2 linked regions of the Oryzias latipes genome follow. The protein of the gene in region 2 purifies or fractionates together with the protein of the main gene of each other region. This does not show direct contact. Links are inferred from orthologs where the notes say so. Each region holds a gene or a part of one and is shown on either strand. Other genes may lie near its edges. The genes, in order: cep97 and uncharacterized protein LOC105354722.

Region 1 (3,061 bases), on a different chromosome or scaffold from region 2:
TGGAATTCTCTTTATTTTGGAGTCAGCCAGTCGTCCGTCTCGCGTGTCCGGTACGCTGCTGCTCATGTTCTGGTTGGAGCCACATCCTAGCTACCTTTCACTGTCTGCCTGTGGTTTTAGAGCTCATTTAAGATTCTGTTTTGAAATCTTTAAATAATCGTACCTTCATACCTGTCTGAGCTTCTCCCTAAACCCCAGCTTGGTGTCAGGTCAGCCTCTCTTGGACGTGCTGAGGTCAGGAAGAAGCTCAGACTGGAACGAGCGTTTTCACTATGTGCACCGAAGCTGTGGAACGTGTTACTGAGTGCAGCAGGGATCCTCACTGTCCTCATTTGGGGAAAAAAAAACAAAAAAACACATTTTTATAGTCAGGCCTTTGACACAGCATTTTTATTTTACACTGTTTTACTTTAGGTTTACACTTTTAGTTGTTTTTAATGTTTTGAGCTTTAAATGTACACCACCTTGTTCTGACTGTGGTTATCTGAAGGCGCCATATAAATTATCATGAATTAAAATGAATATGAATTTTTTTTGGATTTGTAAAGTTCAAAGTTAAACCTCGATCACCTTTAGCGTCTTTCTCTTGCAGTCGTTTCCATTTGTTTTTCCGTAACTCAGTTTTAAAACCTAAAGCGGTTAAGAGCACAACACTCGTCTTAATAGCTGTAAAATCTGAACACAACTTCCAGTTTAGCTCTCGTTGAAGCAGGTAAACAACACAATTCGTTTTGATCTGTTCACATTATATTTGTCTTTTGCTTTTTTATCTAAACACATTTGCAAATAAACGATAAGCTATGGGCTCCAATAAATTGTTGTAATTTATTTCAAACTCAGCAGGTTCAAAAGTTTTTAAACATAAGTGTTGACATAAATATTGAAGTACATTTTAGGATGGTAGTTGTTTTAGTTTTTCTGCAGTTTTATTTTTCAGGTTGTAAAGCTGAATCCATGGGTTTGAATGGATTTAACAGCACTCTCATGTGTGACAGGTGATTGAACAGCTGTACAGCTGTGTGTCTCTTCAACACCTGGACTTGTCTGACAACAACATTTCCACCATTGGAGATCTGACTAAACTGGCTGCATTAAAGGTCAGCGTTCAAACTGACACTCACGCTTACTTAAAACAACACACCGGCTGTGAAGATGTTTGGTTGGTGACTTTCCCCGTTGGTGCTGCAGACACTTCTGCTTCATGGAAACAGCATTACAACACTCCGCACTGTTCCCGCCCACCTGCCGGCGCACCTTTCCATTCTGTCGCTGGCAGAAAACGAGATCAGGGACCTGAATGAAGTAAGTCCTGGGTTTTGATACAGCTTTCCTTCCACAACGAAAGCATCTGAAAGTCATTTTTCTTCTGATTCGTGTTTAGGTGTCGTACCTGGCATCACTTCATGAGCTGGAGCAGCTGTCCATAATGAGCAACCCCTGCGTTATGGCGACTCCTTCCCTGCCAGGTTTTGATTATCGACCGTACATCATGAGCTGGTGTCTGAATCTGAAAGTCCTGGACGGCTATGTGGTGACTCAAAAAGAAGGGTGTGTACGCTCTAGATAAAAAAAAAAAAAGACATGTTTGAGTGTTTGAAATAATTAATTTGTACTATAAATATTTTTCTGATTCAGTCTGAAAGCTGAGTGGCTCTACAGTCAGGGTAAAGGTCGTTCATTTCGTCCAGGGCAGCACGTCCAGCTGAGTCAGTATTTGGCGACTGTTTGCCCTCTGACTGCATCACCAGCGCTGGAGACGGCAGAAAACGCCAAACTAGAGAAGATCCTCAGCAAGCAGAGGTGAGGATCTCTACTGTTGTTCATCATTCCCTCCATGCTCCTCCTACGAGCATCATATGTAACCATTCTGCATAAAAATATCTCTAAGACTGATGCTCTGGTCTTAGGTTTCATCAAAGACAGCTGTTAGAGGAGACCCAGGGAGGCTGCCTCAGTCCTCCACGTCCAACCCAGCTTGACGTGGAGAGGCACAGCCCTTCACATCCACTAGGGGGAGCTCAAGAGGAGAAAGAAGTCACCACACCAGGACCAGCTGATCCTCCATCAGTCCTGGAGAAGGGTGAGGGGGCTTTGCAGCTCTGTGTGCTAGTTGCTGCTTGTTTGGAAGGAAATGTGAAGTGGATTTTCCTCTTTGCCACCTTTCCTGCTTAGAACCAGTGGTGCAGTTCAACACCTGGGTGAGCTGTGACTCCGCTCATGCATCGCTGCCGGTGGTTCACAGCCAAAGGCTCGCAGAGGAACACATTTATTTGGAGGATGTGCAGACCGATGAGGACAAACTCAACAGCAGCATGCTGTCGTCTGAGTCCGTGTTTCTGCCCTTCACATCAGACACAGACCTGCACACGACCCACACCGACACCGAAGACGAGACTGAGACGTTTGAGCCCGATTCTCTGGCTCTGAAACGGCCGGCACAGCCTAAGACGCACAGGACGCGCCACCCGCCAACAGAGAAACCGGACCAGAAGACTATAGAGAAAGAAGCTGGCGCCATCACACCTGCACCGCCAGCCTTCGGAGCCGGAGCGCCACTCGATGGTCCTGAGGCGTCCACCGACAGAGCAGAAATAAAAGGAGAAGTGGGTTTGTTTTTGAGAAAAACGATGACAGAAGCAGACAAAGCAGCTGTTAAAATCCAGTCCTGGTGGAGAGGACAGCACACGCGATGTTGTCACCCCACTGCTAAAGAGGTGCGCGGTGAAATCCGCCTGCGGAGGATGCAAGATCACATCGTCTTTCTGACGGACAAATTAGAAAAGTAAGTGACTCAACAAGCGTCTGTCACACACATTCACCTCTTTGTTTGAGGTGGAAAGTTGTCCATGAGTGTTCATGCTGTGTTGTCGCAGTGTGCAGAAGCAGCTTGAAGACGAGAGGCTGCAGAGGCTGGTGCAAGAGGAGGCCATGAAGTTCCTCTGGAAAGAGGTTGGCAATTCCTTTCATAATTAAGTTCACCCTAAACCGGTGCGTTAGCTTTCCTAGAACAATAAAGATAACGTTTCAGAGACTGCAGTTTGTTCAGTAGGTCCGTAAAATG
Region 2 (3,826 bases):
ACATCCTATGGAGTTTCTGGCTGAGTGAGAATCTGTCTTTAAAACTTACAGCCAACAGACTCTGGTTGATCTCTGCTCCCTCCATTCGTCTCTGCTTGTCTCGTTCTTTGGCATCTGATGCTCTTTCACTTCCTGCCAGGTCCACAAACCACATTCTGCACACATTCAAGAAAGCAACTTCTTTCAGTTGATATTTTCCCAAAACTATTGACAGCTTTTTGTCAATCTGTTAAAACCTGGTGGAACTTGTTGACAATTTTTACTCAAGTTATTCTGCTGTGCATCGGGTGAAAAAAGTAACAACAAAAAAAGATGTCAAATTCCACTAGTCCCCTAAGAGGAACTGAAGGGACAGCTGAACAATTTGGATCCTGAAGCACACAACAATACATTACAGCTTTTTCTTTGTGGTTCACCTCTGCACTATTTTGTCTTGGCAAATCTGACAGATTTTGTGAAGTTAAAACTTATACAGAAAAGATAAATAAAAATATTTGATGGAATAAAATAACTTTGCTTAAGTAATAAAACATTTTTGATGTATCTCACCTTCCCGCTGTGTGCTGGTTTGGCTCTCTCAGTTGAATCTGAAGTAAAGCATGGGAGCGAGAGGACAGTGAATTTACACCACTCACTCCTTGTGTTCGTTGTGCTGTTCCCTTTGAAACCACCTGGTGAAAGTAATGGCAGGGAAAAGTCCTACACCAGTTTTTTTTATAACTTTCAAATTTTCTGTAAATATCACTTACACAAACCAAACGTTAGATGATTTTTGGTGAATAATCTATATTCACGGAAACTTTCTTGTGCGTTTTATTTGTTTTGTTTTGTTTTCCTAACCCTTTGTTTCCTTTGGTTTCCTCATCCTTGCTTGAAATTCCATTGTATTTTTGTGTTGTATCTATGGCTGGCTGCTAACTAGAGTAAAAAACTGGGCAACAGAGCGTGACATAAAGCAGAGAGAACCAACCTCTAGTAGGGAATTGGCAGAGTCCACTCTGATTTCACGCAGCCCTGAAATATGGACGACTTTCTGTCCATCTTCTCTGGCAAACAACCTCAATGTAACAGAAATTTGTTTAAAGAGAAAAAACTTTTGTTAAATGTAGAATATCACCAAACAGTCTCAGCATATTAAATCTTGTATCACACCTTTTTCTGTGATCCAGCAGGTCATACAGCTGACTACAGTAGATTTCAAAGAAACTAACATACACCAGGAGGGGTGGGTATGAATGTGCAGTGGTCAGGTGAGCAAAGATGTCCTGAACTGCCAGAGTGTATAGACCAGGTGTAACAGCGGATGACCCCAGCATGGTGTAGGTCTTCCCCGCCCCTGTCTGTCCATATGCAAAGCATGTGGCATTTCCTCTGCACACACATAACACAAACGAGAAGCTAACAAAAGAGAGATTTGGACACTAGAGTCTGATAAAAGAATTGGAGAGAAAGGTGGATAATGCACAATTTTAGTGTGAGCAAATCTGTGCTTACCTACCCCCTAAACATGTGCTGCACCAGAGGATAAGCTGTTTTCTGATATACTTCCTTGATGGAGCTTTCCTCCCCAAAAACATGGTCAAAGTAAAACTTTTGCTACAGTTTAAGAGGCAAGATGGAAAAAGAAATCAGTAAAACTGGCACAAAATTAGCATCTAACAAATGAAACAATGCATGTGTGCATGTAGAAAAAACCCCCACAAAAGTGTGAAATTTTTCAAGTACAAGGATCCATCAGCATCCTCTATGTGCACGTCTACCTGTAATATGTAGGGTGTAAGATCCACACTTTCTTTGCTTTCATGTACAATTACACACTGTCCGTCTGTTGCTGTCACAACATCAACTTCTCCTCCTTTGCACTCTGCATGTGACAAAGGTCTTTTCCTCACACAAACAGTAATTTGTTGCCCAACAGTCTGTCTGTCACACAAAGAAAATAAAAGCTTAAAGTCTGCAAGAAGCATTTGTTTTGTGTTATTGAATGAGAACAAAGTAGAAATAAACCAAAAAACAGCAGTAACAACATTTGATGCAACTTACTTTTTGTTTGAAGCAAAGGGAGAACTCCAGGCCTGAATATTGCTGTAGCTGTTTGTTGTCTTTGCTCCATGTACAGGTGGGGGCTTAGTCAAGCTTGAATTCAACATTTTCTCTTTTGTGGAGACTTTTGTACATTTATTTTCAAATGTTTTCTTACACGACTCTGGTGTCACGTGTGCAGGGCTGTGTAATATCTTGCTGTTCTTTGTTGATATGGTATCGCAGTTAAACTTCCGAATTCCTCCTGTTAATTCTGACTTTATGGTGTCATTATTATGATCATTACCCAGAGAACGATTATCCTCCAGTTTGTATTTCTTAGTCCTTCTCCGGACACATTTTCCCAGATGTTTGCCATCAATCTCAAGCTGTACAGGTTTGTTCAATCTGCTTACTTTCATTGAACCATCTTCTACATCATGACTTTGACTGACATAAATAACAGGACTAGATAGTGTAAGACTAGATAGACCAGACAACAGCCTCACGTTGGCTGAGTTTTCATTAGTTAAGATGAGACGTCTGCAAACATTAAAAGGTAACGTATCCGTGATTTCCTGAGAATTTCTACATTTATTTCTCACTTTGTCTTCCGAAGTTTCATGGGAATTTTGACTGAGTTTCCCATTTATTGGTATAAAGTCCTGAGCATCACATCCGTAGTTTGGGTTAATATTTTTGTCAAAGTTGACCAAATGGAAAAGTTGGATCCAATCTTCCATTGAGCGAATTCCTAGGAGAGGATTATCCTCTATTTTCAATGCTCAAAGGTGGTCTGCATGAAAAACACCCAACAAAATGAACCTAAAGGCAGTAAAAGACAAAGAGGAAAACAGTTTTAGATAATGAAAGACCAGTTCCGCTGATGTCCTACATTTACTCACCTAGCATAGTGATGTTCTAGTCCAAAGGTTCTCAAACACCCGTACAACCAAAAGGTCATGTCATCTCATGCCTATTCTCCGGCTGCTCTCTAGAAGAAAAAATACATTTTGGTTTCTTCATTAACTGGTCACATTAGATAAAAACAATGCCCAGCCAGGTGGCATATTCATGGATCAAAATTAATTAAAAAACTACAACCTAGTAGGTATGCTGGAAAAACTAAATATAAGGATTTCTCTCAGAATTACAGCCAATGGTCTCTCACTTTGTCACTGCAACCGGCATGCTCGCTTGGTCCTAGGCAAAGCATGCAGTGGCGTAATGCAGTGGTGGAAATTTGATACTTGTGCAGGACAGTGCCAAAGCAGCACTGTGCAGTCATCACACATTTCTTTACAGTGGCAAATAAGATAAATATAGATAACATGGGTGAGCAACACTTTACTCCTACTGTAGATTACCCATAAGCCTAAATAAAGTTGCCATATGGCAAGACTAAAACCCTCTTCAAGCTGGTTCCACTGAGAGGCTTAAAATATTGTTTACTCTAAAGACAGAGCACATCAATGCCAGCAATAATTCAATAAATATTCATTGATTTGATAAACTTTAATTTCTTGATTTATATTGACAATTTCAGTGCCTCAATAAATTAAATTAAATTAATTTTATTTATGTAGCACCTTTCATGACAACAAAGACAGCTCAAGGTGCTGTACATAAAAACAAAAAAAATGCAATAAAATACAATAAAATACATTAAATTAGCCCTGCACAATAAAATAGACAAAGACAAACACCAGTGGAAATAAAATAAATAAAATAAAGAGAAACCAGAATAAAGAGAAACCACAACCATAACACAGAGATGAATAAACCCTCCTGCTGTTCTGAGTTC

Evidence for each region.
Region 1: the proteins of uncharacterized protein LOC105354722 (region 2) and cep97 purify together in Homo sapiens (co-immunoprecipitation; 4 studies listed by BioGRID and IntAct, with this or other methods). This does not show direct contact. The link is inferred for Oryzias latipes from reciprocal best matches to the Homo sapiens genes KIF24 and CEP97.

What each region holds. Positions count from the first base shown.
Region 1 is NC_019879.2:10,880,512-10,883,572, reverse strand, and holds part of cep97 (centrosomal protein of 97 kDa), read left to right. Parts: intron 1-995; coding exon 996-1,097; intron 1,098-1,188; coding exon 1,189-1,302; intron 1,303-1,381; coding exon 1,382-1,548; intron 1,549-1,635; coding exon 1,636-1,800; intron 1,801-1,907; coding exon 1,908-2,080; intron 2,081-2,172; coding exon 2,173-2,782; intron 2,783-2,873; coding exon 2,874-2,949; intron 2,950-3,061. UniProt on the Homo sapiens protein: Acts as a key negative regulator of ciliogenesis in collaboration with CCP110 by capping the mother centriole thereby preventing cilia formation. Required for recruitment of CCP110 to the centrosome.
Region 2 is NC_019867.2:12,035,801-12,039,626, forward strand, and holds part of uncharacterized protein LOC105354722, read right to left. Parts: intron 3,605-3,826; exon of another isoform or gene 3,017-3,604; 5' UTR 2,928-3,016; intron 2,848-2,927; 5' UTR 2,766-2,847; coding exon 2,044-2,765; intron 1,924-2,043; coding exon 1,761-1,923; intron 1,597-1,760; coding exon 1,499-1,596; coding exon of another isoform or gene 1,495-1,498; intron 1,372-1,494; coding exon 1,153-1,371; intron 1,059-1,152; coding exon 971-1,058; intron 672-970; coding exon 550-671; intron 156-549; coding exon 50-155; intron 1-49. UniProt on the Homo sapiens protein: Microtubule-dependent motor protein that acts as a negative regulator of ciliogenesis by mediating recruitment of CCP110 to mother centriole in cycling cells, leading to restrict nucleation of cilia at centrioles.